Linked DNA regions of Arabidopsis thaliana. The protein of the gene in region 2 interacts with the protein of the main gene of each other region in a pairwise test. Each region holds a gene or a part of one and is shown on either strand. Other genes may lie near its edges.

What was found.
Region 1: the proteins of WOX13 (region 2) and MBD3 interact in a two-hybrid assay, tested with the Arabidopsis thaliana proteins (one large-scale study listed by BioGRID).
Region 3: the proteins of WOX13 (region 2) and AT1G77570 interact in a two-hybrid assay, tested with the Arabidopsis thaliana proteins (one large-scale study listed by BioGRID).

The regions. Positions count from the first base shown.
Region 1 is NC_003075.7:175,382-182,420, reverse strand, and holds MBD3 (methyl-CPG-binding domain 3), read right to left. Parts: upstream 3,400-7,039; coding exon 2,908-3,399; downstream 1-2,907. Other genes in the region: AT4G00420 (Double-stranded RNA-binding domain (DsRBD)-containing protein), read left to right, coding at 1-178, 469-580, 675-903; GPAT8 (glycerol-3-phosphate acyltransferase 8), read left to right, coding at 5,687-5,997, 6,070-6,382, 6,885-7,039. UniProt on the Arabidopsis thaliana protein: Probable transcriptional regulator.
Region 2 is NC_003075.7:16,872,318-16,880,854, forward strand, and holds WOX13 (WUSCHEL related homeobox 13), read right to left. Parts: upstream 5,135-8,537; 5' UTR 4,851-5,134; coding exon 4,628-4,850; intron 4,204-4,627; coding exon 3,706-4,203; intron 3,583-3,705; coding exon 3,497-3,582; 3' UTR 3,206-3,496; downstream 1-3,205. Other genes in the region: AT4G35530 (phosphatidylinositolglycan-like protein), read right to left, coding at 1-7, 211-265, 364-448, 772-963; AT4G35540 (POLLEN-EXPRESSED TRANSCRIPTION FACTOR 2), read left to right, coding at 1,622-3,205.
Region 3 is NC_003070.9:29,140,048-29,146,918, forward strand, and holds AT1G77570 (Winged helix-turn-helix transcription repressor DNA-binding protein), read left to right. Parts: upstream 1-3,302; coding exon 3,303-3,746; 3' UTR 3,747-3,964; downstream 3,965-6,871. Other genes in the region: AT1G77550 (tubulin-tyrosine ligase), read right to left, coding at 1-94, 205-346, 542-649, 1,147-1,403, 1,513-1,638, 1,784-1,997, 2,082-2,206, 2,334-2,564 and 1 more; AT1G77580 (filament-like protein (DUF869)), read right to left, coding at 4,144-4,521, 4,615-6,290, 6,370-6,565, 6,657-6,746.

The sequences.
Region 1 (7,039 bases), about 17 Mb from region 2:
GCTCAAAAGAGGATGTTGCTACAGAGATGCGAAAGTAAGTTTAAGATAAGGAAGCTGAACGATACTGTCGAAGAAGACAATGTCACGCAGATGGAGCCAAACTTTACACTTGAGAACACTCTTGTTTCCGAACCAGAAGCAGATTTGAGGCCTCACACAACTGAGCCCACTACTGAAGGTACTTACTCTTTTTCTCCCCACACTGTTTACTTAATTTTGGTGTTATCAGTTGTATTTAGCTAAGGTTTTGTTAATGTTATTGGTTATAAGGGTTTTAAAGATGAAAGCTATGGTTATGGAATAAGAATGTTAGTATTGTGTACCTGTGTTTGCTTTCTTGAAGAGCTTTTGGATTCCTTAAAAATCAAAAGCTTAAAACTTGTCAATTATGTCTCATTTTTTTGGGGTTAGTTTTCATTTATCGACAATTTGACATTTTGTTCTGTTGTTCACATGCATGTTGTTTAGAAGAAACTCAGAGATCTTCAGCCAAATCACAGTTGTATAATTTATGTAGTGTGAGGCATTGGAAAGCACCACTGTATGAGTATATCGCCGAGGGTCCTTGCCATATGAAAATGTAAGAGCACATAATTTCTGCACTCTTTTCACATTTTAAAGGTTAGAAATCTTTAGTGTCAGCATCATTCATGTTTTTCTTTTGTTTTGTTCAGATTTACAGGCAAAGTTACGGTTGAAATGAAGGAGGATTCTCGGATAACGGTTTTGGAGTGTTTTGGGAATCCACAGTACAAGAAGAAAATCGCAGCTGAGCAGGCAGCAGAAGCAGCACTTTGGTATCTTAAGAATGTGGGTTATACCCTTCAAACAGAGAAAGCTTCTGGTCGTAAAGGACGGAGTAAACCGATATCGAAGATGATGGTAACAGGTGAACCCGTGTAATGATCTTTGCCAGTTAGAATCTGTTAAGGTGATTACTTTTGTTTATGTTTATCGGCCTTAAGGATTAGCTTTTGATATAAGCTCTACCTAGGATGCTCAAAAGGTCACAAAATACTCATCTTTTATGAGACTATTTTCATGTGTACCTTTAACCTGCGTTATTTTTTGTCTATCTATGCAAATGTCTATTTTGATACTTTGACTATATCTCGCGTCAACTTTCCTTTGATATAACTATATACGCAAGTCGCAAACTTTTGTTGGTTTGACCTTAGCTATTGCCAACCTTCGTTTGGCTCATGCCATCTTCAATGAAAATTAGCATTTTGATAGGTTTCATAAGTTTGATATCTATTCTGAGTAAACAAAATTTGTAATGAGTCTGCCTTTATAACACATAAAAATCTACTACTAGTGCCTCGAAGCTGTCTTAACCTAAGCTGCCTTTATACCACATCGAAAATTTTCATCTTACCACATAGCTAAACAGTTGGGAATTTTTCATATGCTATGTGGTGCTTTGGTTACTCCGGTGATTCTAGCAAGGGCGATAAACATCATCATCTTATTTCTTCTGAGAAACTTTAAGTCTGAGATTCCGGTGCAAATAACAAGATTAAGGTTATGTAGATTATAGATCTCTTAGAGATTGTCTCACAGGCAGAATTTTAGTTGCCTTAAGACAAGAAACTGTAAAATAGAATCTTAAAGGCTAGCTTGGAGAGCACATTTTTAAGGAAAAGATGATCTTGTTGGTCACATAAAGAATGTTGTGTGATGAAAGAGATTAACAAAGTGCAACCATGGGGGAGAAGAGAAGAAAGAGGAGATATGAACCAGTTCTGAAATGTCTAATTCAAGGAAACGTTTGGTTGGTGAAATGTAATCTGATCGAGCCGAAACTTTGTGGCAAGCTTTTCTGTCTTGATTTTCAACGGTGGGATTGAGATTTTGACGGTTGGTTTGTGTGTTATTTGAGATTCTTCAACCTGATCCGGGCACAATTCATCTGAAGTTTCAGTTTTGACCAGTTTCGGTGGAAACATCACACGGATGACCAAATGAGTTCTGAATGGGATGAATTTTGTCAGAGATATTCTAGACATGTGAGACAAGATTCTGGTATAAGGACACTCAATTTGGAGTCCGGGAACATAGCTTACTGATGACCCTTCAGAACAGTTGATACAGAGTCTTATGGAACGAAGAGTTTTTAGTGACATGAAAGGCAAAGAGACATGAATGTCAGCATTGGCTTGAAACTACAAGGCATTTGAGTAATGGAGTCTGAGACTGATCTCTACGTTGGCATCTTCAGAACTTGGTTTATCATGAAGAGTTATTAATATGAAAGAACCTGTAATTAAGTTTGTTGAAGAAACGTAAAACACAAGTTAGTGGTGAAGAATCAGTCTTCTCATAGCTCGTTCTTAAAGAGAAGGATTCGCATATTGAAGTATTTATGAATCTGTTGCTATCACAAGGAGAAAGAGACCTTCGATATTGTTGCTTCAAAGAGAAGGAATTTCAGAGAATGATCAAAAGCTATGATTTGCAAAGATCTCAAGGTTGATTAAATCATTGTGTTAAAAGGGCCTCAAGAACGTCACTGTATCAGTTAGTGTGAGATAGCTACAAGGAAAGCTACCAGAATGGTCTAAGACTGTCAAAATATCAGAAGTGCAAAGATAAATCAAAGGTTGAGTTGTTCAAAGATGGACTTTCAGAAGCTTTGAATTCTAAGAAGCGTGTATGATTCAAAGTTTGCTGCTAGTAATTTAGGTAGCAGTTTGTTCAGAGAGAAGGAGATTACTAGGCAGATTACTCAAGTACATGATAAAAGATATGATAAAAGAGGAAATAAATTGCTTAAACTGGGAAAACATAAAGCATCAAATGTTCAACGACAAAAACCAAAAGAAATCAAAGACAAAAACCAAAAGTTCAAAAGAGAAGAGATAAAGAGAAGCGATGAATGATCCTGATAAGTGATAGCAGACAAAACTAAGCATCTCTCGAGACACCATCTTCCTCAGTGTTCCTTGAGCTAGAATGACTATCGACAGGTTTCTTTTTTAGTTTCAGCCGTTTGGGTGCGGCAAAAGAAACCTCTTCAAGCGTCATGTCTTTAAATTCTTCCTTGTCTTCAATAAACGTTGCAACTTCCTTTATAGATTTAAACCTCTTTCGTCTAGGAGCCAATGATTCATAGTAAACATCGACTTTCACGCAGTTTGTTCTCACGACCAAAACTCTCTTCAAACCTTGAGGGGTTTTGGGTATACTATGTTCATCCTGAAACCAACGCATAGTAAGGGAATCAAAGTTCATTACCATATCTCCAGGTTCTTCACATCTCTTGCATTCAAAAAACTTTTCCAGTGTTTTACTACGAATCTCTTCATAATCTTCTTGTGACTCTATAGATCTCACTTTAAGACACTTCCAACATTGTGCAGCGTATGAGTCAATTAACGTGGTTTTCACTACACACATAAAACCAAACAAAGACTAAGATAAAAATAAAACATTGTCGATACCTTGTGAGATGCAATGATAAAAAACGAATCTTCATGTAATGATAAAAATAAAACACCATATTTCAAGTTTTGGGATCTTCATGCATTGACAAAACAAATCTTCATGCAATAATAAAAATAAAATATTGTCGATACCTTGTGAGATGTAGCTTGAGTAGTCTTCCTCACCATATTTCAAGTTTTGAGAGAGATAAAAATATTTTTTTGGGAGTTTAGCCTTTTAGTTGAAGTGAAGAAGAACTAAATATATCCTTTAGATTCGTAAAGTGAAGTGAAGAAGGAATGAAATCTTTACTGCAATAGCATTTAAGTTGGCTTTTAAGCCTTATAAGAAGTATCTAATCAAGTACTATTATAACCAGAACTCGAAGAGATAGTAGCTTGCGGTGATTCGAAAAGTCGGAGCCATTAATTTTGATTTTGCATGTACTTTCTCCAAGGAGAGGAAAAACAATGCTTTGAAAATTGTATTAACGTAAATTTGGACGCTTGAGATACATGTAGGTTAGGGCTAGCCTTACATCAGTAGGACAGGCGTTTTAGTTCCTTCAACCCTAGATAATATTAAAAGTTCCAATTCTTAAAAAAACTTTAATATGCAGCCCAATAGAATCCTATAGCGTCAGTGACCACTTCATTTGGTGTCAACCAATTAAAAACTGATCAGTTATAGAAATATTAAACTAGTGATAATGCGCATTTTGAATGTAAGACAAGCATACATATAAAAGTTTTATGAGTTATTTAAATTATTCAATTTTGGTTTAAGATTTTAAATGATGTGGACATATATAAGAAGGCAAAACCATATACTGTACTGTATTATATAATCCATTCTTCGTAACATTTGGTCTGTTCTTGGCTCGGAAATTGTCTCTGACCAGAGCAGTGTTCTACATGATTATGCAATGTCTCGGAGCCATCTGTGGTGCCATCTTTAAGACTAGTGAATATCGGCGCATCTTTAAGCCTAGTGAATTTCGGCCCATCTTCAAGACTAGTATGGAGGCCTGTTAAGGGTCTTCTAATACAGCTCAACATGCCTTTTTGTGTAAGCCTAGTGAATTTCTAATACACTTTGTCTCTGGTCAAACACTTTCATGCGTTTTTTTTATAAATATGTTTAATGAGCATAAATGTGCGGCTCAAAGCGGTGCAACTCCCAACGGTCAAATAAACAAATTAAGCTCAACTGCTCAAGTAGTGAGAACAAGATCAACCTAACTTGCACAACGAAGAATTTTTGTTGTTGTTGTGGTCATATATATTTTTACACTAACTAATTATTTTGACAAAAGTAATCAATTTGTGACATTCTACAAAAAAAAATATAAAAATAATCGAATATAATTTTTTTATTGGTCAAAATATCGATTGCAAAATACAAAAATCAAGGCATAACAAGTTAATCTATAAATTATAGTCGTGTTTTAAAATTAAGTCGTGTGTTTTGCGGTTTTGTCCTCGATTTTGTTCCTTCCTTTGTGTCGAATTAGTCCTACATTTTATAGAGAGGTCTTCTTGACCCTAATCCACGTGGGATTTTGACTCGAGCCACCGCCTCTATTGAAATGATAAGATCGTTTCTAGAATGAGGTTACGGCCCGTATTGGTCCGGTTCTTGTCGGTTTTGGCTAACACTGATCTTTCATAAAGCTTTCTAGAATATCCTTTATTATTTTCCCTATTTTGATGGGTTAAGAAATTTAACAGAGTTTATTCAATATCATCTCCAAGATTTAAATTATTCCCAACAGTAATGCAATTAAAATCTAATATCAACTATATATTGGTTTAGTAACTAAACCAATATATAGTTGATATCTAAGCTACATTAAATCTAAAACTTTTCTAACAACTTCACTTCAACTAAATAATTAAACCCAAATCTAAGACAAAGTCTCTAAAAAGATTATAGACAATTCGACTGTGTCAACAATATCACCACATGTATAGATGCATATAATCATTTTCATATAATGAATTCGACATGTGGCCCTACACTTTACGCTCTTAGTGGATATTTCATAGTTAATGACATATACATATATATATATATATATCATATTCATTCACATAGATATAGATTATAGATATAACCCACTGAATTAATATTACGGTCTTCAATATAGGTGCATTTAAAACATAACGTTCCCTCTCTTGTCTTCTTATTTTTGCTCTCTGTTCTTTAGAACTGCCATTAACGAGAGTGAGAGAGAGAGACACACACACAGCGAGTGAAAATGTCTCCGGAGAAGAAGAGTCAAAACTTCCCTCCAATAACGGAATGCAGAGACGGAGAGTACGATTCGATAGCCGCCGATCTTGACGGGACTCTGCTTCTCTCAAGAAGCTCCTTCCCTTACTTCATGCTCGTCGCTGTTGAAGCTGGAAGCCTTTTACGTGGACTAATCCTCCTTCTCTCGTTACCATTCGTCATTATCTCTTACCTATTCGTATCCGAATCTCTTGGTATCCAGATCCTCATCTTCATCTCATTCGCTGGTCTCAAAATCCGCGATATCGAACTTGTCTCTCGCGCAGTTCTTCCACGGTACGAGATCTAACATAGAGTGTTTTCTTGTTAGTAGATCACTTTAGTTTTTTTCTGATGAACTTTGTTTAGGTTTTACGCGGCGGATGTGAGGAAAGACAGTTTTGAGGTGTTTGATAAGTGTAAGAGAAAAGTGGTAGTGACGGCGAATCCGATTGTGATGGTGGAGGCGTTTGTGAAGGATTATCTTGGAGGTGATAAAGTTTTGGGAACAGAGATTGAAGTTAACCCTAAAACCAATAGAGCCACTGGATTTGTGAAGAAGCCTGGTGTTCTTGTTGGTGATCTTAAGAGGTTAGCCATTTTAAAAGAGTTTGGTAACGAATCACCTGATCTCGGCCTCGGTGATCGAACCTCTGATCATGATTTCATGTCTCTCTGCAAGGTACTGTTCCAATCTTTTTATCCAATCTTGGTCGATTATAGGGTAAAGTTAAGTTGAATTATTGAGTGTTGATTGGTTTAGTGTAAGATGTGTTTTGGAGGTAACTTGAGAATCTAAGCAAACGTTTGATTTGCTTGTTGATTAAGCTAGATAATCTAATTTAACTTGTTGACTGGTTTAGTGTCATTATGTCTACGCGTGAATCTTATAAAAATAATGAAATTTTTGATTTGGAAGCAATTAGTAAGGTTCATAAATGTATCCAACCAATCACTTCACGTGACCCTCTGGATTATTTTTCTATCCCCAACCACCTTACTAGTTCCACCAACATTTTGGGCTGTCCATTTAATGAACACATACTTGAAATATCATAAACAATCTTCTGTTGTTTAATGCTTAGTTTTTTGAATCTTGATTACACAATTTAGAGATATGTTACATTTTCCTAGTACTTTTAGTTATAAGTTTGAAATGAATAACGTTTTTGGTATTATAACAGAAAGGTTACATGGTTCATGCGACCAAGTCAGCCACAACGATTCCAAAAGAACGCTTAAAGAACCGCATAGTCTTCCATGATGGGCGTTTAGCGCAACGTCCAACTCCGTTAAACGCCATTATCACATACCTATGGCTTCCTTTTGGTTTCATCCT
Region 2 (8,537 bases):
TTTTCCACTGCAAAGCAGAAGCATGCACAAAAAAGTAGGTACTTGTATGATTGGTAAAACTTAAAAGCATAGATCATAATGGTTCATGATAATTACAACAAATTCAACCATTACCACCTATCTTAGAGACCACTAATACGGAGTAGTTCAAAGCATTAAGCCATCATGGAGTGCAGACAACAGAATACTAACTAAATGGATAAAGCATACCTTAAATATTGAGTTTCAAGTTGGATCCCGAAGGTTGGCAAGATTATCACAGATTCTGAAGAAATCAAAGAAAAGCTAGAATTAGTTAAAACGTGAAGCTGATATCATTTGGTAAGCCTGTAAAGCGTGTATCAGGATGAACCAGGATCTCACCTTTCTTGACGAACTTGCGACTATGTAGCATAACCAAGAAACCACTTAAAAGGCAGCCCCAAGAAAGAGTTCTAGCTGGATTGTCCTGTTTCATGTGAATTATCCCTTTCAACTTAAGTGAAGAAGAAACAAATGGAACAACAACAAAACAAGCTTGTAAAGTAACACAAAAAAAGAAAAGTGCTTTTATACAAACCTTGTCATGTATTAACATAATGCTCACAACAGAATGAAAATATCAAACTATACTCCATCACCAATCCTAAGAAACAAAATGGTATGCCTTTCTCATGATATGTACTAGCAACACTTGTTCTAAGCAATGCATCAGAATCACTCAAATGTCAAGCAGATTCACATCAAAATAACAAACGGCAACAACCAAATTTTCTCTAAGAGCATAATTACCTTTCCAAGCAAAAAGTACATAGAACTCGCCAGAAACACAAGGAAGAAACCAAGCCCCCAACGACGGGCATAACCAGTTCCGCTGCTTCCGTTGATAATCACATGGTGAATATCAATGGCTTCTCTAGTTGACTTACTTCCACTTTCGTGTATGTAAGTGTATCTCTTATTCGAAACAGACAAGCTCACCATTTCAAAGCTAGTTTAGTTGAAAAACAGTCAAATGTATCACCGTCGTTTTACTCCCAACTCATATACGAACCTGCCCAAGGTTAGCTTTCTCAATACCCAAGTAACAATTTTCAAACTTTGAGTCTCAGTCAAATCGGATAGCAACAAAACTTCTCTGCGGCTTTCCGTCGAACACCATGCGTGCGTTATAATAACCCCTCTTGAAATCTCATAAATCTCTCTAACTATCTCCACACAACTTCCTCGAAAACACAGTAGCAATCTATCAAAAAGGACGAAGCAAGGATTCACCCAACGAACGAAAGCCACAATTCTTCGAATTGATCAAATCTGAAACCGGCTTCTCTTACCGGTAAAGAGATAAAAGACGGCACTATGGTGGAGGAGACAACAAAAAGCCAAAAGAGAGAAAATAATACAAACTGTGTGGCGTCCTAAATAAAACACCCTGGCGTTTTTGTTTTATTCATATTAACATCATGCCGTTTTCATCTCGACAATATAAAAACCTAGCTTATTTTTAAGGAAAGGTCAAATCTTAATTAGTTTTGATTTCTCTCTCCAGTACTTCTCGATTCGCCGGCGATCCGAATCTCATTCTTCTGCTTGTCGGAAAAAAAAACCCGTAATTTAAAGTGTGAAGCTTTCGGTTTGAATCATGCGTTGCAAGAGATGCAATGGAAGCAACTTTGAACGCGACGAAGACACGGGGAATTCGTATTGCGGTGGATGTGGGACATTACGAGAGTATGATAATTATGAGGCACAACTTGGCGGCATAAGAGGACCTCAAGGTACATATATACGAGTAGGCACCATTGGTAGAGGCTCTGTTCTTGATTATAAAGACAAGAAGATCTATGAAGCCAACAATTTAATTGAGGAGACAACAGAAAGATTGAATCTTGGTAATAAAACTGAAGTGATTAAGAGTATGATTAGTAAGCTTACTGATGGGGAATTTGGACAAGGTGAGTGGTTCCCTATTTTGATTGGAGCTTGTTGTTATGCTGTGGTAAGAGAAGAAGGGAAAGGTGTTTTGTCTATGGAAGAGGTTGCTTATGAAGTTGGATGTGATTTGCATCAGTTAGGGCCTATGATTAAGCGTGTTGTGGATCATCTAGATTTGGAATTGCGAGAGTTTGATCTTGTGGGTTTGTTTACCAAGACGGTTACTAATTCACCGAGATTGACTGATGTTGATAGGGATAAGAAGGAGAAGATAATAAAGCAAGGGACTTTCCTGATGAATTGTGCGTTGAAATGGTTTTTGTCGACGGGGAGGAGACCAATGCCTTTGGTTGTGGCTGTTTTGGCGTTTGTTGTTCAAGTGAATGGTGTGAAGGTAAAGATTGATGATTTGGCGAAAGATGCTAGTGTTTCGTTGACTACTTGTAAAACGCGGTATAAAGAGTTATCTGAGAAGCTTGTGAAGGTTGCTGAAGAGGTGGGTTTGCCTTGGGCGAAAGATGTTACTGTGAAGAATGTTTTGAAACATTCAGGAACTTTGTTTGCTTTAATGGAAGCCAAGTCCATGAAAAAGAGAAAACAAGGGACTGGGAAAGAATTAGTTAGAACTGATGGATTTTGTGTGGAGGATTTAGTGATGGACTGCCTAAGCAAAGAATCTATGTATTGTTATGATGATGATGCTCGTCAAGATACTATGTCTCGGTATTTTGATGTAGAAGGTGAACGTCAGCTTAGTTTATGTAACTATGATGATAATATATCGGAGAATCAGTTGTCTACAAAGTATAATGAATTTGAGGATCGAGTTTGTGGTGGGACTCTTGCGAAAAGAAGTCAGGGAAGTAGTCAGAGTATGTGGCAAAGGAGATCTGTTTTTGGAATGGTGTCAACTGAAAATTGGTGGAAAGGGAAATCGGAATTGAGTAAAAGGCTTTTGCTCAAAGACTTGTTGGAGAAAGATGTAGGGCTTGAAGCTTTGCCTCCTTCTTACATAAAGGGTTGCGTTGCAGTTGAAAGACGAAGAGAAAAGATTAAGGCAGCTAAGTTGCGGATTAATGCAATACAACATCCTTCTGACAATGTTAGTGAAGGTGCGTTGTCTTTGGAGCTTGAACATAGCAAGAAGAAAAGGAAGAAAGGATCTGAAATTGATTGGGAGGATTTGGTTATACAGACTCTGGTCTTACACAATGTGAATGAGGAAGAAATAGAGAAAGGCCATTACAAAACTTTGTTAGACTTGCATGTTTTCAACTCTGGAGAGGTTTGAATTGAAATGTTTTTCTCTTGGAATTTTTTTATTTCTTACAGTATAATTCATTTAAGGATGTAAAAATCGTTCTGAATGCAGAAATTATCAAAGCAAGCATCACAAGACGATTCAACAATCCATGTAAATGTTTCTCTGAAAATGATTAATAAGATAAACTACTTGTTTCTTTAATAAGCCCTGAAAGAAACAATTTAAGAAAAACAAAAGTCTAATACTGCTTATGACTGACTACCAAATCCATTTCATTGATCTCTCTGATAATTAGAAGTTTCCTCAGCTTGTATTCAATCAGCCTGACATGCCATAATCTTCAACATGATCATAAAGGTTGTAACTTTCCGCCAGTCCCATCTTTCCAACAAGATGCTCATCCCCTACAAACACAAATCACAAGAAATTATCTGAGACAGACACAACTTACTTGACTATTTCTTCAAAGCCAATGTCTCTGTTTTTTTCAGTTACGTGTGAACTAAAAAGGTATCTTTGTTACTTACTTGGGTTTGATAGAACATCTAGCAAGTGAAGGTCTGAGCTAATCTCAGGGCTCTGAAAGCAAAGATCTTCAGGCCTAGGAGCAGTAGTTGTTGCTGTTGTTGTCCCTAACCCATTATTGTTGCTATTTCCATCTGGAAGACCAAGAAGACTCTCTGGCCTCACTACTCTCTTCTCATTCAATGCTTCAACTTCAGTCTCTACCTCAGACTCACCATTATTATTTCCAGAAGAACCTCCACCATGCTGCTTCCTCTTGGATCGAGCACGTCGGTTCTGGAACCAGTTATAGACATTTTGTTCAGCAATCTGGCCGTGTTGGCTCAGCTCTTCTGTTATGTCTTTGATCTTCTGCTTGCTCGGTGTTCCCGTGCCTTGATCGAATATACGTTCCAGAATCTGAAGCTGGACTGGCGTAGGAGTCCACCTCTGTCTAGCTGTCATCTTATGACCTAAAGATGACATCATTGGGTCTGCATATAGTCCTCCCATTCTCCCTCCTGTTACCAACAACAGACAAATGAGCAGAGTTGTTAAAAGTTAAACTAAATAAAAAAACTGAAACTTTATATCTCAAGAACACATCATCAAGCTAAAAACACCTATTTTGGTGGGAAATTCTCGAAGCTCAATTGAAAGATTCAAAGGAGTGATTCTAGAATTCCTCAAGAACCATTATTTTCCTTATTCTTAGCTCAAAAATCCACGAAAAGGATTGGTCTTTGAATCAGATTTAAGCCAACAAATGCTTAAAAGGCAGAGAATTTTCAATTACCCATACACCAAAGTGAAGAAGAATCACTAAAAAATCAATTAAACCACACAAAAATTCTGAATTTTTTTAAAAATTTCAAAAGGAGTCCTTTTTTTATCTTTAGATGAACAGAGAAGAAGAAACTAAATGATAGAAGAAAGGATAGAAACCTGCAAGATCTTGTTGAGCAGTGAGAGTTTTATGCATCTCAACAAGACGCTCACAAATGGTGCCGTAAATAGCAATCTGTTTCCTGAGAGTTTCATACTGCTCATCGGTCATCACCTTCACGTACATTCCTCCTCCGGCGCCGGAGCCGCCATTAACGTCGATCCCTTGAAGATTAGAAGAGTGATGGTTATTGGGTTGTAGCTGATTATCCCATTCCATCATCTCTTTTGTCAGAATTTCGCTCAGAAGATTTCTCTCTTTCTCTGTGTGAACGAAGGAAACAGAGCAAAGTCAGTGCTTTTTCGGGAGTAGAAGGAAAGGTAAAGGCAGAAAAGGACAAAAAAAACTTAATTTATGTTATTCTTTTGTTCTATATTGAAATTATAATATATAGTTTCATTACAAAGGAAAAGACAAATAAGAAGACGGTAATGATTCTTTGACAATCGTTAAAGGAAACTATTTAACCAACGGTTATTTTAGTTCCTAATTTGGAAATTGACCGTTTGAGATTTCACATACGGTTAAACGGCTACTTCCATATCTGAATATTTACATTACCATAATCTAAATGTTATTTGATTTATAGTTGGAGAGAGCCGTTGCTATTTTATTTTATGGAAATAACATGTCTGGATGCAATCGACTTGATACAAATATTAACAGCTAGTTTGATCGTATCAATGAAGTAGATTGTTAGTTTTTTTTTATAGTCGTTGGTTGGTACTTTTCAAGAAACTGAATTACTTTTTTCTTTTCAATATCCATTCTTCAAGTTATGTATTTTGTTTACACCGAAAAGTTTTTTCCTTATGCTTTTTTAGTCCAATTTGTGTTATATTTTTGGGTCAACAGTCAAAATGGTGGTATACAACTTTTTAAAAATGCGATAAAGAGCACTTGTGGCAAAATAAATAAACACTTTTAATTGCCTCTTTTCCTGACCGATTAACTGACATTCCGTTGATTGATAAATTTTGGTTGCGATCTAACTTTTCTGACACATTCTAGGTTATATTTTTCTCAATTATTCTATAGAAGAGTATTAGCTTCACCGTCTTTTGCAATCCCTATCATCTAATTCAATAAGAAACCTTTAAGAAAAACCAAAAAGAAAAAAAAAATTGTTGGGCCAGTCAGGACTTATAAGTTAAGGAGCGGCGACCCAAAAAGAAAATAAATAGTTTCCACGTGTCGTTTAAACAGTAGAATTTGTAGGTGGTCGGTGTCCGCCGCCCATGTTCCACGGGCGCACTTAGATTTTAATATGATCTAATCTGACTCATTAATTGCCAATAAAATTGATCTCTGTCGAATAACCAGGCCAAACAATGAAATGTGACCATGGTCGACAAAAACATGAAGATAAAGAAAAATATAATATGTGGTCATGACTCATGCCGTATCGTAGTCGGGGGCGTAGTAGTGTTTTGTCGGAACGTGTAAATAATTAGCTCTTCTACTTAATTCTGTGACTTTTTTTTTTACACTAATACACAAATTATTACTTTAATTTTTCAGCCAAAACTTGAAATTTATACTTGCTTCACAATTCTATTCAAGTCATTGTCTTCGTAACCTATACGTAAAAATTATCGGAACTTTTGTTTATTTAATTAGTATCGTCGTTTTTTCTTTAAATGATATAACGCCTCATCGTTTTTTCCGGAAAGTGTTTTCGTTTCGGTAATTTTTTTAATTGTCAACATTATGGAAGAAAATAATGAGGTTTGCATGTGCGACCCTAAGTCAAGTATCGAGACCAAGCAGAAGCAGTCTATCTAAATACCAAAAAGTCCATATTCACACAAATATAGATACATTTTATTTATTGTCATTAGATGATAGGAAAATTAGATTAATACTCACAAAATTTAAATATTCTAATACTTGAATTATATATATATATATATATATATATATATTACAGAAAAGAATAATTTACATTAGATGATTTTTTGATTAATTAAGTTGAGATTTTTTACTAACAAAGCTCATTAATTTAAAAAATTTACCAGTATAATAATCATTTATTTTTAAAATTATACATTAGATGATTATTTTCTAGTTTATGTCTAGGAGTAGAACATTCAACCACCGGGACAATATAGAGACACAAACGGAAATATCCAGAACAAGACATTATTTACGTAAGCATTATCAATCGACCAAATGATAAGGAATTTAAATATAGATGAAAATAGTTGCATACAAATTTGTCCATATATATATACATAATCTTAATTACATGACTGACTTAGTGATGAGCCATATTATAACCCATTGGATTCTCTTTGGCCCAGCTTTCTTTGGATTCTTCTTTTAGATTGGAGAGTTTGGTGTACCTATAGCTTCTCTTGTCTTCTATCCTTATTTTATGCTTTCTTCTCTGTTTCCTATCATTGAAATCTATATTCTTAATCCCGGTTTACAAATCTACTTACTGTTGTTTTTTACCCTGTTGACCACTGCTAATTATTATTATACGCTGAATCTTTCCCTACCAAAGAAAATAAATATATACGGTGAATCTTACTTAAAAACGTATATATATAGTAGGATTGTGAAAAGAAAAAGAAAAAAGCTTCAGTATGAACAAAACTTGAACTCAAAGTGAAGACAACTTACTTATTGCACCAGTACTTAAAAAATGATTTATCCAGGCCTATATTTATTATCTCCTAACAGCCCATCTCAGCCCACCAGGTTGACGGTAGGATCAATTGTTGTATAATGGATTAGTGTTTTTTTTGTTTGTGTGTCATTGTGTGCTGCTGTTTACTCACCATCTAGACGTTACAAATGTGTTGATTTTGATCAAATATCGAACTTCGCACTAATAACCGAATCTCTGTTAAAGTTTTCACGTTTTTTGGTGTCTCGGTTTTTCTAATGTCATTACAGAAACCGTTTCACTAGTATTACTTATCTTGATCTTGTTGTATATATTATCCTTCTTGATGGTGAACGAGAACAACGTTTCACTTTAAAAGGAGAATAAGATATTTCAGTTTTCGTTAGGATGGCTGTAGCTTGTAGAGTTGTAGTTATCAATTCAAAGTGGATAAATAAAGTTGAGAAATCCAATAATATATAAAACAAAAGCTATTCAAGGAAAAAAAAAAAAACCCACAAAGTTAAAGAGACCGTATCAGAGGAATGATATATTCAGGATGGGTCTAACTTTGGTTGTTGCTTTCACATACAACCCATTCTATTACGCTAAGAATCGCAATAGAAAATGGCAATTGCAAAATATATATTTTTAGCTTTTATCAAAAAGACAACAAATACTAATGTTTATGAGTTTTTCTTGTATTTTCATTTATTTATAGATCAAAATAGTCGGTGGTCAGAGCACTCAAAGAAAAAGGCAGCGTCATCTCACACCGTCCATCTACATATCGGACGTCTCTCGTGAGACCACGTTAAAAAGGGCAGATCAGATCACCAACTTCATCTTAGAGGGACCCCTATAACAGATTAGCACTTGCCACGTGTACTCTATTGACTTGTTTTCCACAACCTGATTCACATAAAAGAGAAAAGAGTAGAATATCTATCAATTTAGCTGATCTTCTTACCAAAAACAAAAAAATATGATTAATCTGATCATTATAAACACACAAAAACATTGAATCTTTGTTAGATGCGAAAATAATTTTTTTTTAATTAATTAGATTAAAGTTTCTATGTAAATTTTTAATTAATCTGGCCTATTGAGCTTTCACTCTACTCAAAAAGAGACCTGCAAAAGCTCCAAGTCATGTGTTGGTTGGATGAGTTAATAAGGACCATTGTCCTACATATGTACTCTTATCGCATGGATTAAGATTTATGTGGTAGTAAATTATTTTATTTTTGATCAATAGAATATCCGCGACGCTAGAGTTTTATCAGAATTCAAAA
Region 3 (6,871 bases), on a different chromosome or scaffold from region 2:
CATCACTATGCTGTATGCTTCGGGAAACTGAAGGGTTGGAAGGTTTTGACTCGAAGGCTTTGGCCTGCAGTTTCTGTTGGTATTTCTCAAATTCCTAGGAAATCATGACAGCGAATCTGTTAATTAACAAAAATCTTTGTATGAAATGAGAGGAAAGGAAGTCTGCTAATGAACAGAAAGCTAAAGAGGACACCGAGGAAGTACATGAATAAAATAATTCTCAGGAGTTTGAAACCAGGCTGTGAGTCTCGCAGACCGCTGTTTGTCCTCCCCAATACCAGATAGAAAATCACGAGTGCACTCATCACCTTTTTGAGAATGCTTTATAGGCCACATTACCGAATAGCTGGAACATATAAAACCAAATAAACATGAAGATAGAAAATATTTGCATACATGACATGTGAGCCCTGATCAAGAAGCGCATGTCAATCCACATTACACTTTTGAACTATAGCAACATAACACGTGTTTACAGCGCATAGAAGTTGAATTTAACAAATACGAGGAGCAGTGCAGGAAATTTTTTAAAAGTTGCTACCTCACAGCAGATTCTAGTTTCCCAGAAGGCATGAAAAGGAAGGGAGCTACTTTGAAATTGGGTTCATCACTATGCCTCAAAGCTGAACCCAATTCATCCATCACATACCTGCGAAAAAGTGATATCACTGCACCACTCACAGTCATACATATCCAAAAATTATGTGCCCAAGAACTACAGACAAGACTATCCATAAACTGTTTGATTCCCCCTCCTAATTCTAACCTCTTAAGAAGTAGACTAGCATCAAATGTTCATTCCCAATACTATAGAAATTTTGCACATATATACACCAAAGGAGACCTCGCCCAGTCAAATCAAAGAAGGCTTTAGTCTAGAGAAACAAATGCTAGGGTGAGAATACATTCCAAAAGTGAAAATGGTCATTCCGACATACAAAGAGTGGTAACTCTTTCAGCTTTCAGTGTTGGATTAGAATCGTCACAAATATTAAATATTGGATTTCTCTAATTTGTCTATTTAACTGAAAATTGTTATGATAGTTTAAATAGTAAATATAAACAGCCGTGAGTTTTATTTCTTATCCCCAGCAAATCCACCGCACTAATTCTAATATAGCAAAAAAAAAGAGAAACATTGCATACCATAAAGAAGTTTCATCAAGCTTTTCATCATCCGCAAGGCGATAATTCAGCGCATACAACCACATTGCATCAAGAACACGATCAACAAGAGTATCATCAGGATTCAGCTCAGGAATGCGTGGTTGAAGCATTGAGTCAACAACATGCTTTCCAGTTTCCAAAATTTTTGCCGTATCAACGCCATTTAGTAAAGAAAGGTTTGAGAGCGATTCAAGAATCTCTAGAGCATTAATTCCAAGAGGTCCAGGTATGTCAACCTACAAACAAGAAGTAACACGTGAGCTCATCTCTGCATAAATAAATTTTAGTTAACTTTGTACAGTAACCTCAATTTGTATCTGAATAAGGACAACTTCCAACATTTACCTCTAATGAAGACAGTGAAGGGAAGAGCTTCAAGACTTCAAGTAGTTCTCCAACAGAATTCTGATCCAATGAGTTTCCACGAATATTTAAATGAGAAAGTAATGGCATCTCGTGCACAGAGAATGCCTGAAAATGAAGAAAGCAAAGGCAGATAAATCAGGCACGTAAAATACAAAATTGAAACATACACCTTCGTCAATGCTTGTAGCCTCTACGGTCAATAAACTACACTCCCTGCCTCTCTGAGAGAAAGTAGGGGGACAAAACTGACCTTATTGACTAGATTGTGTATTGACCGGTTTGAAAGGTCAAGTGAGGTGACATTGCACAAGGGTTGATCCTGCTGAACACAACCAGGATTATCCTTCCCAAAGATATCTCCACAGAAACCAAGTGCCCATAACCCATAATTAGGGGTAAAACACGAGTTGTAAATCTCAAGACTCGGACAGCCTTGCAATATTTCGTCAGCCATCTGACGTTCACTGAAAATAATCATAAAAAAGAAATACATGAGAAATTAATTATATATCCACACACATCCATATATTTTGTAAATGCATGATTACCTCTTCTGAAGAACAGGATTGTCATTCAGCCACAAAGCCTTCAGATTCTTAAACTTCACAATCTCTTGTATAACCACATCCGCACTCTCTATTTTGTTCCCGATAAGACTAAGCGCCACTAAATCCTACCCAAAAAATGGCAGCAGCACAAACAAAGAAGCTTTAGAATCTAGCATTTGAAATAAACCTTCACCATCTGAGCTAGAGTCTAGCATGAAAGTACTAAAGGAGAAGAAAGATCTAAAGACATGCCTGAAATTTACTAGGCAAATGCAGGGACAACAATGAGTCATCAACACCAAGACCCTCCAACTCCAACCATCTCAAAGAGTCATATCCTTTATCTGCTGCATAACGAATTTCATTGTCAATTATCTGATCAACAGAGAGTTCCTCTGCCACTTCTTCTTCTCCAGCATCCACATCAATATCAACACTCATCAAAGAAGCCATCCTCTCAGCCAATCCAGGAATTTCCTTAAGCTGAAGTAAGAGATTAAAACAAACCTTAAGCTTCATCACCAATCCAAAATTCAATAAGCTTCTTTCGAGAGTGAGAGTAGGCGTTACCTGCTTATAGGCATCGGGAAGACGAAAAGTCCAGGCGTGATCGACAAGGAAGACGTCAGAATCTTTAGGCATAGATTCGGCAGTGAGGAGAAGCTTCCGTCGCTGATCATCCTCGCAGGATTCGATTTGGAAGTAATCGCCGCCATCAAAAGTATCGTAAGCAAGTTTCTCGAAGAGGCGTGGGTAAAGCTTCGGCGGCAAACCTGAAGCCGCCAAAAGTATTCCATGTACTTTGACGAAATCATCAAAGCTCTCGATTTTGCTCATTGTTCTCTCTGAGGGGTTTTAGCTTAAGCTGCGTTTTCGGCGACAGAAGAAGAAGAGAAGTGGGAGTGATATAATAGGGTTAATTTTGAAAAGTAATAACTAAAAAAATGTAAGAAACAAAAAGAGGTCCTACCGGGAGTCGAACCCAGGTCGCTGGATTCAAAGTCCAGAGTGCTAACCACTACACCATAGAACCTCGGATGCTTGTTAGGTGAAAGCTATCTTATTTATATACATAATATATGCGTATTAGAAAAAAGGAAACAAAATAGAAAAAAGGAAACTTTGTAACTTTTAATCCTGACCGCTGAAATTTTGCTGATATCTTGACCGTCCTTTGAATTGATAGCTCGTCTATAAATAATGCTCTTGCTCTTCCTCTCTATGCTAAAATCTCGAAACCCTAATTATTCTAAGATTCTAATTTGTGAAGTTTGTGAGGTTTTAGGGATGGGTTACAATTTCTACATGAGAGTGTATGAGGTTGTTGATGATGCTTCAACGGATGCAATCATATCGTGGAGCGAAAGCAACAACAGTTTCATTATCTGGAATGTTGGAGAGTTTTACAGAAGGATTCTGCCTAAATATGTAGACTTGGGCACAAACCTCTCACGGTTTTTCTCCAACCTTCGTTCTCATGGGTTCAAAATAGTTAAAGGAAGAACTGGAGTATTGGAATTTGGACATGAAGATTTTATCAGAGATAAACTGGAGCTTATGAAGAAGATGGTTAGCGATAAACGTAAAGCAAGGAAAGCTGCTAAATCCAAAGCAAGGAAAGCTAGAGTTCAAGTCGAGTTTCTCTTCCAACACTTGCAAATTTGATCGTCCATTAAATCAGTCTTCTTTATTATGTATATTCGTCTCCAAGTAGATTCAAGTCTAAGAACTTTTCAATAGTATGTTTCTCTCTTTATAGGAACCCTCTTTATATGCCTAGTCTTTGATTCTTCTCTTATGATGGTGGCTTCTCTTCTTTATTGTCTTATATTATGATTCATAACAACATCACATAGAAACTTCCTAAAACCTCTTAACAGAAAATTGAAAACTTTTGAAACATCTTTTATGGAATATCCATCCACTGCATTACACTAGAGATTAACTTTTAAAACTACTACTATGGATTCAAAATCTGGAAAAGGGAACAAAGTGGTGTTAAAAACGGATCCTTTTTAAACCCTAAGAGATAAGTTTCTCTGCCTACTCTGCCAAAGTTATGTTATATAGCCAGATGGATACCGTCTTTACTTCTTGTGAATACTGTTGCAAATCCATTGCGATTCTTCTCAGAACTCCCTCGGTTTGTTGAAACTGGCATTGAAACAGCAGCAGACGCAGTAGAAGAAGAAGAAGATGGAGATGTTTCTTTGGTTGGTTTGATGGACTCAGGATGATTTCTTGTCATGAAAGTTTCGTTTTTGTGAACCTTCCAACTCTCTGAGTTGCTGCTGCTGCTTACACCATTTGCAGCCATTGGAATTATCGGTGTATCGGTTAAGAAATCTTCAAGTGTTGCAAGGGACTGCAACTGTTTCCCCAATGAAGCTATTGTTTTCTGACAATTCGCAAGTTTCCCTGCAGCTGTTTCTATGTCTTCCTGAATTATAGTAATCAAGTTTTAGTGGACAAAAAAGTGATTGTGATGGAACACAGTCTAAGTTTAACTAACACCTGAACTTTGGAGACAGACCTGTTTGATCTTGGGTTCTTTATTTTCACTCTTGATTGAGTTCTCTTTATGGAGAGAGATCTCTTCTTCAAGAGCCTCACATTTTCTCCTAAGCTCATCAAAAGCAAACCTCTCCTTTCTCATGTCTTCTTCCAAAGATTCAATCTTTGCGGATTTAGTCTTTGCATCTGCTTCCATTGCGATGGTTTGAGACTCTACTTCAGCTTTTAGTTCGTTAACGAGTTTCATCTCCGTTTGTATCTCCCCCAGCTTCGTCTCGATTTCTTGCAGACAAACTTGAGATTCTTCATATTTATCTTTGATTATGTCAAAAGATATTTGCAGCTCAGCTTTCTCAACTTCCAACTTCTCCAACTTATTTTCCAGCTCCATTTTTTCACAAGCAATAGCTTCGAGCTCAAATCTCAATGTGCTCTCCACTTCCCTGTTACATTTAACTTCACTTTTGAGCTCATCTTTCTCTACTTCCAACTTCTCTAACTTCTCCTCAAGTTGCTTGATTCGGCAAGTCAATACTTCTATTTCAGTAGCCAACGAGTTCTCTACTTGAGCAACAGCCTCTTCTCTGTTACATTTTACTTCACTTTCGAGTTCAACTTTCTCCGCTTCTAACTTCTCCAACTGTTCTTCAAGTTCCTTAGTTCGAGAAGTCAGTACTTCTATTTCAGCAGCCAATGAGTTCTCTACGTGAACAACAGCCTTTTCTCTGTTACATTTAACTTCACTTTTGAGCTCCTCTTTCTCTGCTTCTAACTTTTCCAACTTTTCTTCAAGTTCCTTAGTTCGAGAAGTCAGTACTTCTGAGTTCTCTATATGAACAACAGCCTCTTCTCTGTTACATTTAACTTCATTCTCGAGCTCATGTTTCTCGGCTTCTAACTTTTCCAACTTCTCTTCAAGTTCCTTAATGCGAGAAGTCAGTACTTCTATTTCAGAAGCTAACGAGTTCTCTGAGGGAACAACAACCTCTTCTGTAACTGATTCAGGTCCACTCTTACCGTTCCCATCTGGCGTCTCAGGCAATGCTACAAGACGTTCCATCTCAAGAAAATCACCCATGAGATCAAGTTCAATGGAAGAGGAAGTTCCCTGAAGGCTTCTCTTCTCAATCAATGTGGATGATGCCCATGAATCAGAGCAACTCACATCCATTCGTTCCCCTCCATCAGAATGACTATCTGTAGATCGATGATCGTTAAACGAAGCTGATGACTTAGCCAACATCCGAAACTTCCTGCACTCAGCCTCAAGTTTCGCCACTTTCTTTATGCTATCTAACTGCTGCTTGCTGGCGGTTTCAGCTGCTTGGGTACTCAAATCCCTCTCAATAGTTCTGATCTCTAGCTCTTCGCATCGCGCAAGAAGCTCGTGTCTAAGCATCACGTTTTCTTTCGCCACAGATTCCGCCATTTGGCTAAGCTCCTCAGACTTGGTTGCAGTTTCAAAAATCTGGTTCTCAAGGCTGGTTCTAGAAGACTGCAACTCCTGAGTTCTCTCGATCACAGCATCTTGAATTCTCTGTTCTTGTTCATCTCTTGCTTGCCTTAACTGTCTCACACACTCCTTTAAAGCTCCATCAAGATGGCTTACTCTATCTTCCAACACTCTATTCTTATCATCAGCAGCCTCAAGCTTCTCCTTTAACTCAACCACTTCATTTTCAGCTTTCTCCCACCCTTCACAACAAGAGTAGATATATCTTCACTAAAAAGTCGCAGAATCATAAAACAAAAATGTAGAAAAAAAGATTGATACCAGCGACAGCTTCTTCAGCGACTTTGACATGTTGCTTCACTAGATCATCTTTAGCACTCACATTAGCAAGAGCAGCTGAAAGTTTCTCGGCTAAAGTCTTCATGCTATCTTTCAACTCTTCCTTTTCAGTTTCTACTTCCAAAGAAACCGTTGGTGATTGTATCTCGTCATCACGAGACTCCATTGTACTCTCAGGCTTGAGCAAAAATAAAAACAGACATTACAATGATCTTTTAGATGCAAAGGACACAAGACTAAAATAACAAAAACAAAATTCTTGATCTTACTTGAATTTCAGAATCCTTCTCAGATAGTGAAGACACAGACTCTGATTCACCAAAGCTTCTCTCAGATGATTCTCTCTTCCTTTTCTCCATTTATAGTTTCCAAGATCACAATCAGCACATAACAGTCTCAGGATCTGAATGAGAGAGAAAACACACACACACACACACATACATTGGATTCTTTAAAAATGCTGAAACATACATAAACATAGTCA